2 linked regions of the Coturnix japonica genome follow. The protein of the gene in region 1 purifies or fractionates together with the protein of each later gene. This does not show direct contact. Links are inferred from orthologs where the notes say so. Each region holds a gene or a part of one and is shown on either strand. Other genes may lie near its edges.

What was found. Proteins that work in one complex are often made in the same cells at the same time.
Region 2: the proteins of GIT1 (region 1) and GRK2 purify together in Homo sapiens (affinity purification with western blotting; 4 studies listed by BioGRID and IntAct, with this or other methods). This does not show direct contact. The link is inferred for Coturnix japonica from reciprocal best matches to the Homo sapiens genes GIT1 and GRK2.

Annotation. Positions count from the first base shown.
Region 1 is NC_029534.1:4,842,607-4,848,414, reverse strand, and holds the start of GIT1 (ARF GTPase-activating protein GIT1), read left to right. Parts: upstream 1-2,148; 5' UTR 2,149-2,260; coding exon 2,261-2,312; intron 2,313-4,487; coding exon 4,488-4,621; intron 4,622-4,693; coding exon 4,694-4,806; intron 4,807-4,893; coding exon 4,894-4,999; intron 5,000-5,078; coding exon 5,079-5,165; intron 5,166-5,246; coding exon 5,247-5,377; intron 5,378-5,466; coding exon 5,467-5,561; intron 5,562-5,644; coding exon 5,645-5,687; intron 5,688-5,808. Other genes in the region: ANKRD13B (ankyrin repeat domain-containing protein 13B), read right to left, coding at 503-613. UniProt on the Homo sapiens protein: GTPase-activating protein for ADP ribosylation factor family members, including ARF1.
Region 2 is NC_029520.1:139,268-144,427, forward strand, and holds the start of GRK2 (beta-adrenergic receptor kinase 1), read left to right. Parts: upstream 1-1,502; 5' UTR 1,503-1,665; coding exon 1,666-1,778; intron 1,779-1,938; coding exon 1,939-2,015; intron 2,016-2,520; coding exon 2,521-2,594; intron 2,595-2,780; coding exon 2,781-2,882; intron 2,883-2,973; coding exon 2,974-3,048; intron 3,049-3,230; coding exon 3,231-3,292; intron 3,293-3,536; coding exon 3,537-3,588; intron 3,589-3,740; coding exon 3,741-3,832; intron 3,833-4,051; coding exon 4,052-4,151; intron 4,152-4,229; coding exon 4,230-4,308; intron 4,309-4,405; coding exon 4,406-4,536; intron 4,537-4,777; coding exon 4,778-4,875; intron 4,876-4,949; coding exon 4,950-5,057; intron 5,058-5,133; coding exon 5,134-5,160. UniProt on the Homo sapiens protein: Specifically phosphorylates the agonist-occupied form of the beta-adrenergic and closely related receptors, probably inducing a desensitization of them. Key regulator of LPAR1 signaling.

The DNA of each region.
Region 1 (5,808 bases):
GGAGATGGAGGCTGGAAGTGGGGGGAGCACACACAGAGAGTGCCCCCACCCTGCACAGAACCTCCTGGCTGCCTGGGGCTGGGGGCTGCGCTTCAGCAGAGCAAGGCCTTGTGTGCCCCCCCCCCCCGGAGGGTGGGGAGCTGGGGCGGCTGTGCTGGCTGCACCCCACCTCCGGGGAGAGGGAGGGGGGGGCTGGTGCTGGGGAGGAGGCACAGAGGCCTAGGAGGGAGAGGGGAACACGTGGGGAGGGATGTGGGGGGTTGGGAGTGGGGGGATGCGAGATGGGGGGGATCTCTGCTGCTCCGGTGACGGCTGTCACAGCGCCGGGGGGAGCACGAGGGGACCCCCACCCCATCAGCATCACCGCGGCAGGAGGACCCCAGCCCCAGCCCCAGCCCCATCCCTCTCCTCAGCCCCAGCCCCGGCCGCAGCCCAGCTCGCAGCGTTGCATCAGCCCGAACCGAACCGAACGGAACCGCACCGCTCCGCACCGCCGCCCCACCTGCTTGGCGCTGAGCTCCCGGTCCAGCTCCCGGGCTCGGTTGTGCCAGACGAGGTAATGCAGCGGGTATCTGCCCTCCGGCCCCTTCCTGCCCGAGCAAGACGCGAGCATCCTCCGTTCATGCTGGAGCGGCGGAGCGGGGCGCGGGGCGGAGCGGGGCGCGGGGCGGGGCGGAACGGGGCGCGGAGCGGGGCGGGGCGGTGGGGGGGGGGGGGTGGGTGGGAGCCGCCCGGACGGTCCCCCCCGCATCTTCCCCCCGCACCGCCCGGCCTCATGGGACTTGTAGTCACTGAGCGCGGCGTCGCCCCTTCCTCCTCCTCCTCCTCCTCCTCCTCCTTTTCCTCCCCGCACCCCCCGCCGGCCCTATGCCCCCCCCCATTGTATGGGGCTGTTCGGGGACGGCTCCGCAGCGCCCGAAGGCACAACCTGAATTCTTATCGCACCCCCCCGCTCTCCCCACCCACGGGCGCTCAACACGCAGCAGCGCGACCCCCGCGATGAGCCCGTGGGGTGCCGACCCCCCCCCGGCCCCATTTCCCTTTCCGCCCCCGTCCCTCCGCTCGTGTTTTCCGGCAGCCGCCAGAGAACAATGCGAGGTTGGGCCCCACGGCTGCCCCCCCCCCACCCTCCGACCCCTCCCCACGCCCCTATGGGGTTCCCGCGGGGTCACCCCGCTCCTTCCCCGCCCCTATGGTGGGCTGTGGCCGTGACGACCCCCCCCCAAAGGTCCCGCTGTCCCGTGACGTCACGGCCATGCAGCGGTGAGCTCAGCGCCGGGCGGGTGCAGCGTGACACGGCGCTGTGCCCCCAGCCCCGGGCGCTGATCGGGGTCCCCCGGGCTGGGGGTGGCGCCCCCCGACCCCATCTGACAACGGCACAGAGATGGGCACCCCCAGTATCAAACCCCCCCACACACACTATGCCAGGTTCAGCCATCGTGGGGGTGGGGGTCGGGGTGATTTGGGGCCTCGGGGGTGCGGGTGCAGGATGGGACCCTGGGCTGGGAATGGGGCTGGGGGCAGGGCCGGGGAGTGCATGGAATCAGAACCGGGACATGGGCTGGGTCAGAACCTGGAACGGGACACGGACCAAGGCTAAAACCAGAACCAATGGATGCCTAGAATGAGACCAACTCAGAACCAGGACCAAAATGAGAACCAGGCCCGGGTCCAGAGGATGCCCAGGATCCGGATCACTATCAGGACAAGAACCAGGGGTTGTCCAGGACAAAACCGGGACCAGGACAAGGTCCAAGACTAACCCAGGACCAAGACCAGGAGCAGGGAATACCCAAAAGCAGGACCAGAACAGAGGCAGGGAATGCCCAGGAACAGAACCAGGATGGGGACAAGAACAAGGAGACGCACAGAATCAGGACTAGAACCGGGACCAGAACCAGAGGATGACAGAGCCGGGATGAGGACGAGAACCAGCACCAGGACGGGCCCCGATCCGCCCCAAAGGGCCGCAGCTCCATCACCCGCTGCTGCTCAGGGCGCGCCGTGACTGCGCTGCGCTGCGCTGCGCTGCGCGGGGCGGGGGCGGTTCTGCTCCTCCTCCGCCGGGGCCGGGCCTGAGCCGCTTCCTGCGGAGCCGCCGGGGCTGCGAGCAGCCGGCAGGGCAGGCGGCAGGAGGGCGAGGCGGCCCCGAGCCCCGCCGCCCCCCCCCGACCCCTCCCCAACCCGACCCCCCCATCCCCCCCTTCCCCGGCCCCGCTCCGCGCTGGCGCAGAGACCCGGGCCCGGCTCGGCGCTGAGGATGTCCCGGAAGGCGCAGCGGGCGGAGGTGTGCGCGGACTGCAGTGCCGCAGGTAGGGAAGGGCCGCGCCCGGCCCCGTCGGCGTTATCCCCCCCCGACCCTCCTCCACGCGGGGCCGTTCGCAGTTCGGTTGTGCGTGTGCCTCCATCCCCTCCCCCCCAGCATCAGCACCTGGATGACGCCCCCCTCCCCCTTTGCTCTGGACCCCGCTGCCCCGCTCTGAACCCCCAGCTTTGTACCCGCGATACCCCGGTGCCTCCCTCCCCCCCCCGCACCCCCTATTTACCCCAGGGGTCCCAGTGACCCCCACCCTTCCTTCACACCCCGTGCTGAGACCCCAGGAGCCCAGGGTTCCCCCTGCATACCCTGCCGACTCCCTCTTTGCCCACAGCAACCCCACAACGTGCCCTAAATAAACCCCCCCCCCGTTCCCCCTGCAACCCTCGGTGCACCCCATTCCCCATCCCTTTGTACCCCTACTTTCCCTCTCGGCACCCAGCACTGTGCCCCCCGGTGCCCCTGTTCTGCACCCAGGAACCCTACAGTGAGCCCTAAAATGCCCCCTGTGCCCCCCAGACCCCTTGTTCTATCTCTTACAGCCCCTTGTTGCCCCCCATTACCCCCCACTCTTCACCCCCTACTTTACCCCCGGGTTCCCCTTTTACACCCCGCACTGGGAATCCCCGCTGCACCCCATTATCTCTATAACATACCCTAAAGATGGCTCCCCCCCCATATTGTGACCCCCAGACCCATCCCTGCGGCGCTGGGGGCAATGAATGAACGTTGAAAGCGGCTCAGAGCCCTGAGGATGGCGGCCACGTGCATGGGGGGCTGCGGGGTCACCCACTGCTGTGGGTCAGCCCCTGTTATAAGGTACCCGGCGGTGCCGAGGTTCCTATGGGGGAAATGGAAAGCTTTTTCTCCCAATCCCTTATCGCCCGGCGGCCATGGGAGGAAATGAGTTATAAAGTCCAGAGGCCGCTTCCGACATCGCGGGGCCGGGAGCAGCCGGTGTCGGGATGTGCGGGGTGCCCGGCTCCGGCATCGCCCCCGCGGCGCAGGGATGGAGTTTCCCATTGCTCCGGGTTATGGGGTAGCACCGTTCTGCTGTGCCCTCAGCCGCCCCGATCCCAATGAAGGAGGAAGGGGTGGCACTGCGAGGTGCTGTATGGGGTGCTGTATGGGGTCCTATATGGGATCCTATATGGGGTGCTATATGAGGTGCTATATGGGGTGCTATATGGGGTGCCCCCCCCCCGGCACGCAGCATCCTGTTCCCGGCAGCGCCCCGTGGGCCGCGGTGCGGAGGCGCAGATGCGGCGGTGCTGCTGCCAAGCGCTGCCATCTGCCCGGGCGGTGCTGCCAGGATTTGGGGGGGGGGACGACGACAACACTGCCTTGTGGCCGCTGCCGGCTGTGCCCCCCATATTAGAGGGGTCGGGGCTGCCTGGTGTGGGGCAGCAGTGGGGTTTTGGGGAGGGGGTGGGAAGGAAGCGCCGCACTGGGTGATGGGGGTGGGTCGCTGGTGGTGCTGCTGCCCCCTCCCACCCGCAGCCCTTCCTCCCGTGGGGCGGCGCGGTGTTTGTGTAGGCCCTATAGATGCACAACACTCCTCTGCTATGGCACAGGGACGCTGGGGACCGTATGGCCCACCCTGCCCCTGCCCCCTGTGGAGGGGGGGGTGGCACCCCATCTGTCCCCCATCCCTTCTGTTGGTGCCGGGGGATCTGGACCCATTGGGGTGCTGGCTGTGGGGAGCTGCCCCCAAAGAACGGTGGGGCCCCCGTGGCTGGAGCGGGGCCGGTGCCAGCACAGTGCTCAAACGTCCCTTTGTTCTCCTGGGGACACAAAGGGCTCCAGTGCGGCCGAGCGGGGCCGGGCAGGGGGCGTGGGGCTGCTGGGGGGGGCACAGCCACTGAGTCCGTGATGGCTGAGTGGGTGGGAGGGCACCCACCTGTATGGGGACACCCGCAGCACAGGGGACACAGCATCGGCACGTAAGGGTGTATTGCACAGTGCTGGCATCGCCCCCGCTGCTGTCAGCCCTTCTGATGAGGGGGCCAAATCCTGCCCCCCCCCCTTGGTTGCTAAGGGAACCCTTTGGGTTTCCCCTGGCGATGGGCTGAGCCCCTCTCCGTCACCCTGGAAACCGCCATGTTGCTACGGTGACGCTGCCCCCCCCCACACACAGCCCCCCCTACATAACACCCCACGCCCCCTGCAGACCCGGGCTGGGCCTCCATCAACCGCGGTGTGCTCATCTGCGACGAGTGCTGCAGCGTGCACCGCAGCCTGGGCCGCCACATCTCCATCGTCAAGCACCTGCGGCACAGCCCCTGGCCCGCCACGCTGCTGCAGGTGGGTGCACCCGGGGGGGGAGGTTACAAGGGGGGTGTCCCATCGGCTCACTGTGCCCCCCCCCATGCATAGATGGTGCACACCTTGGCCAGCAATGGGGCCAACTCCATCTGGGAGCACTCGCTGCTGGACCCGGCGCAGGTGCAGAGCGGGCGCAGGAAGGCAAATCCCCAGGATAAAGTGCAGTAAGTGAGGGCTGTGTGTGGGGATGGGGCTGTGGGGATGGGGGGAGCTGTGGTGGATGTCCCCCCCCCCTCACCCTGTGTCTCCAGCCCCACCAAGTCAGAGTTCATCCGCGCCAAGTACCAGATGTTGGCCTTCGTGCACAAGCTGCCGTGCCGGGATGATGATGGTGTCACCGCCAAGGACCTCAGCAAGGTGGGGGCACGGTGTGATGGGGACCCCCCCTTGGTGCTGCTGACACTCCTGGCACTGACTGCTGCCTCTCCCCCTGCAGCAATTGCACTCCAGCGTGCGGACGGGCAACCTGGAGACGTGTCTGCGGCTGCTCTCACTGGGGGCTCAGGCCAATTTCTTCCACCCGGTGAGCTCTGGGGGGGGCAGACAGCCCGGGGGGGGGGGCATGATGTTGTCATCACGGGGCTGACGCCGGCTGTACCCACAGGAGAAGGGCACCACACCGCTGCACGTGGCTGCCAAGGCAGGGCAGATCCTGCAGGCAGAGCTGCTGGTGGTGTACGGTGCTGACCCTGGTGCGCCCGACGTCAATGGGAGGACACCCATCGACTACGCCAGGTGAGAGCGTTGGGGTGGTGGGGGGTCGTGTTGGGATGGGAGGGACGTGGCCAGCCCAGGGTTGGTGTCACCCCGGCCGTGCCCCGTAGGCAGGCGGCCCAGCACGAGCTGGCAGAGCGGCTGGTGGAGTGCCAGTATGAGCTGACCGACCGGCTGGCCTTCTACCTGTGCGGCAGGAAGCCGGGTGAGTGCTGCACCCATCGCATTGCATGGGGGGGTTAGGAGGGGCCGGAGGGGCTGATCTCACCACCCCTTATCTCTGTGCAGACCACAAGAACGGGCACTACATCATCCCGCAGATGGCAGACAGGTGAGTGCCCGGTGCTCACAGCTGCGCCACCACCACTGTCCCCCCTGGTGTCCCCACTGGGCCGAGGGGGGGACCCCACAGCTGTGACCACCACTGGAACATCACATGGAGTGTGCGTGTG
Region 2 (5,160 bases), on another chromosome or scaffold:
GCCAGTACGAGAGGAGGACCGGGCCCGCAGCAGGGAGCTCCCAAGGTGGAGGTTGTTGCCGAGATCCCTGGGTGGAGAAACGGGGCGCACCCTCTTCCCCCTACTTTTCCCCAGCTCCTTGCCTTGAAACACTTGTCACTTCCCTGTTAGCACAAAGCTTGAGGCCTCTCCAAGGAGGAGGGAGCAGAGCTGGGACGGGCCCTCTCTCTCGGTGCCACCACCAGCTCGAGCCCTGCTCTAAACCCCCTCACCCAGCCCTTGGATTCCTTTCTTCCCCTGCAGCAGCGAGGGCAGGAGCCCTCCAGCCTGGGCATGGCGGCAAGGTTGGGGATGGGGCTTCCACCCTGGGGCGCTTCCTCAGAGCCCTGTGCACAGGCAGTGGCCGAGGCTCGGCTGGGGGAGCAGCCCCCAGAGCTCAGGGAGGACTCGAATAATCAGCCGCGGGTGAGTGAGCACGGGGGGGGGGGGGGGGGGGGGGGGGGGGGGGGGGGGGGGGGGAGGAAGCTGCTGCATCTCCCTCCCCAGCTGCCTACCACGGCCGAGCGCTGACATTCGTGTGGCAGGGCTGCCTCGCTGCCTTGTCCTCTCATCTCCCACCCTCCCCCCCACCCCATTTTAGCTGCCGTTTTTTCCTTTGCAATGAGCGGTTGGTCCAAAGAACCTCTCTCTTGGGCAGCAGAGAGCTTTTTGCACTTTAAGAAAAAAAAAACAAAAAAACAAAAAAAAAAAAGCAAAAAAAATTAAAAGTAAAAAATCGGAAAAAAAACTCAAGATATGAGGGAAAAAAAAAGAAAAAAAAAAGTTGGCATCTTTTGGGTCGCTCTTTCGTTCCCCTCCCTGCCCGTGCCCGGCTGCTGCTCCTCTCCCCGGTGCATGGCACAGCGCAGCCCCCAGAAGCAATAAGGGAGGAGAGGAGGCTGCGGGCGGGCTGTGAGCAGCGCTGGGGGGGGTTTAGGGAAGGAGGGGGCAGAGCCCCCATCTCTGTCCTGGTGGCTGTTGCTGCGGCGTTTTTCTTTCTTCTTGGGTTCATTTGTTTGAGTTTTGCCACCAGGACAGAAGCGAGGGGAGCGGTGCGGGACCCCCCCCATACAGCCCCTCCATACAGCCCCATAGCCCCGCAGGGACAGCGAGCTCCCAATACACAAAGAGAGAGTTCTGTATATGGGATCGCTCAGTGATTTAAAGCGCCCGCACCGCGCCCGGCTGCCTCCCGCAACAACTCCCCATCGTTTAAAGGTTTCGTTGTGTTTTCGTTCCGTTTCGACCCCCCCCTCCTCCCTTCTCCCCCCTCGGAGACATATTGTAAATATATATTTTTTGTTGGCAATTTAGAGTCCAGCCGATGTTTGTGCTTTCAAATTAAATGTAAGCGTTAAGGGTTCAAGCAAAACCAAGTCGCGTGCGCTCTCTGCGTTGGGGCCGGGGGGTGTTGGGGGCACGGAGGGGCCGTTTGTTCCTGGCTGGTTGTTGGTTGTTGGGTTGTTTGCGGAGCTGGGTTGGACATCTTTGCTCCTCCAGCATTACTGCAACTACTGCCATACTGCAGCTCCGGGCTCAGCCCCGCGCACAGCTCGGGCCCAGCCCAACGCGTTTCCGGCTGCTCCTACTTCCGCTTCCGGGTCGCTGCTGGGGGTCGGGCCGGTGCCGGCCTCGGCCCCGCGCAAGATGGCGGATCTGGAGGCTGTGCTGGCCGACGTGAGCTACCTGATGGCCATGGAGAAAAGCCGGGCCGCACCCGCCGCCCGCGCCTCCAAACGGATCCTACTGCCCGAGCCCAGGTGAGTGCCGTCGGGTCGGGGGCACCGGGCCGGGCCCTGCCTGCCCTGCCGCCCTCGGCCCCGCCGTGCCCCTACGGAGCCCCCGTCCCCAGACACCACCGGGGCGCGTAGGGGCAGTATGGGGCAGTGTGGGCCGAGCTGAGCCCCGGCCGCCCCCCAGCATCCGCAGCGTCATGCAGAAGTACCTCGAGGAAAGGGGCGAATTAACCTTCGACAAGATCTTTGCGCAGAGAATCGGTGAGTGGGGGCTGCGGGCGCCGCCGTGGGGCTGCGGAGGGGCTGGGTGGGGTCCTCCCCCCCCCCCCCCTCGGTCCGCCCTGCCCCGCCCCGCCGCTTCCCCTCGCACTAACTGTCCTGGGCAGGAAGCGCCTCTTGCTTCCTCCCCGCGGCTCTGGTGGTTTCCGGCACCTCCGCCCTCTGGCAGCCCCATAGCCCTCCTCTGGCAGCCCCATAACCCTCCCGGCAGCCCTATAGCCCTGCTCAGCGCCATAGCCCTCCTCTGGCAGCCTAGTAGCCCTCCCGGCAGCCGCATAGCACTCCTCTGGCAGCCACATAGCCCTCCTCTGGCAGCCCCACAGCCCTCCTCTGGCAGCCCCACAGCCCTGCTTAGCTCCATAGCCCTCCTCTGGCAGCCCCACAGCCCTTCTCAGCCTGCTGTGCTCTTGTTGTGTGGCACCACATCGCTCGGCCTGGGTGCCACACTGTGATGCGGTCACCGCTCGCAGCACTGCCTCTACCCCAGGGTACCTGCTGTTCCGGGACTTCGCCCTCAACCAGGCTGAGGAAGCCAAGTCCCTGATGGAGTTCTACGAAGAGGTGTGATGTGGGGCTGGGGATGGGGTACCCTCTGATGCACCTGGGGGAGGTGGTGCCCTGGATGCCTGGAAGCAATGCACTCAGTGCCCAGGGTCCTGATATCCACAGGTGTCCACGAGACACTGTGCACTGTGTGCTCCTTGTGGGGCTGTGCCCTCTTCACCATGCAATCTGTGTCCTTGGCAGATCAAGAAATACGAGAAGCTGGACTCGGAGGAGGAGCGCCTGAGCAGGAGCCGCCAGATCTACGACCATTACATCATGAAGGAGCTGCTGGCCTGCTCCCATGTGAGTGCTGTGCCTCATCGTGCCAAGCCACAGGAGATTCCACCACCGTGTCCACCTCCTCACGGTGATGTGGTGCTGTCCTGCCCTGCAGCCATTCTCCAAGAGTGCTACAGAGCACGTGCAGAGCCTCCTGAGCAAGAAGCAGGTGCCCCCAGACCTCTTCCAGGTAAGTGCTGTCCGTGACGTGGAGGGGATGGTGGCACTGGGGTCACCAGAGACAGCTGGCCTTGGGTGGCAGAAGGTGGTAGTGGAGGTGTGAGATATCCCACCTAGAGGTGGGACCTGCAGGGAATGGGGCGGACCTGGGTGGTACTGGGGATGTAATGCTGACCCCCGTGTTACCCATAGCCCTACATTGAGGAGATCTGCCAGAACCTGCGTGGGAGCATCTTCCAGAAATTCATTGAGAGGTGAGACAGGAGCACTGCCCAGGGAGATCTGTCTCTCAGGGTGCTGCAGGGCTCCTGCTGAGAAGTTCCAGTGCTGTCTGTCCCCACACTGGAGAGTTGGGCCAGTGTCACTCCCAGTTCTGGCCTGGGGTCTCTTTTCCCACATGGGGTCCTCTCCACAATACGGATCTCCTCTGCCCTTCCTTGCGTCTTAGAGGTCTCCCCAGGGGTCCCTCGCTCTCACCCTCTCTGTGCTTCCTTGCAGCGACAAGTTCACGCGGTTCTGCCAGTGGAAGAATGTGGAGCTGAACATCCATGTGAGACCTTGCTCCTCGGGATACAGCCAGGGAGGGAATATGGGTCCTGGTTCTAAGGGAGCTCCAGGAGACTGAGGCAGGGTATGGGACCCCCCCAGGACACACAGGGGGTAGCTACCATCGGGTGATCCCCTCTTTCTGATCCACTTCAGCTCACCATGAATGACTTCAGTGTTCATCGCATCATCGGTCGCGGTGGCTTTGGGGAGGTCTACGGCTGCCGGAAAGCAGACACAGGCAAAATGTAATGGGGCTGGGGAGCTCTGTTCTTGTGGGCAGGGGGGGTGAGCGGTGTTGCCGTGATGGTGGGCATTTAGCGGTGCCAGAGCATTGCTGTGTCTCCACCTTCTGGGGCAATACATCATGGTAGTTGGGGGAAGGAGCTGTCTGACCACAGATGTCAAAGAGTGGGCGTGGTGGGTCCAGGTAGCAGCAGGACCCCACAGGGACTCTCTGCCCCCAGGTATGCCATGAAGTGCTTGGACAAGAAGCGCATCAAGATGAAGCAGGGTGAGACGCTGGCCCTCAACGAGCGCATCATGTTGTCCCTTGTCAGCACAGGGGTGAGGGGATTAAGGGCACAGGGTGATGCGGGGTGCTGAGGCACAGCTGGCTTGGCATGACATCTTCTCCCTGGCCAGGACTGCCCGTTCATCGTGTGCATGTCTTATGCTTTCCACACACCCGACAAGCTCAGCTTCATCCTTGACCTAATGAACGGTGAGAGCCTATAGCTGCTCCCCATTCCCAGCACCGCAGCCCCCTGGCCTCCCCGCCATGGCATTCCCAGGGTGACTGCTGGCGCCTGTTACTGCAGGGGGAGACCTGCACTATCATCTGTCTCAGCACGGCGTCTTCTCGGAAGCAGAGATGCGCTTCTATGCAGCAGAGATCATCCTGGGCCTGGAGCACATGCACAGCTGCTTCGTGGTGTACCGTGACCTTAAGGTGACCGCCCCCATGAGCACCCACCCACTGTGTGGAAATCTGGGGGCCCTACAGACCTCCAGGTCCTATGGGCACCCTACACCCAGCAGGAAGCCCCTAGGCACTGTGGGCATCTCTGGGACCCTGCAGTCATCCCTGCACCCCATATTGCACCCATCCTAACGTGCACAGGCACCCTCAGCCCAGCTGCCACCCATGGCCGTGGGCTGGGCTGTGGCTCAGGGGTGGCTCCATGTCCCAGCAGCCAGCAAACATCCTCCTGGATGAGTTCGGTCATGTCCGCATCTCAGACCTCGGACTGGCCTGTGACTTCTCCAAGAAGAAACCCCATGCCAGCGTGTGAGTGTGCCCGCCCATCTCGGCACTCCCCTGTGATTGCTGGGCACGGCCCTGACCTCGCTCTGTGCCCCCAGGGGTACCCATGGCTACATGGCTCCGGAGGTGCTGCAGAAGGGAACGGCGTATGACAGCAGTGCCGACTGGTTCTCGCTGGGCTGCATGCTCTTCAAGCTGCTCCGCGGGTGAGTGTAGGCACGGAGGGTGCTGGGGAGGCTGTGCAGCAGGGGCATGGCTGAGCCCCACTCTGTGTGACTGCAGGCACAGCCCTTTCCGGCAGCACAAGAC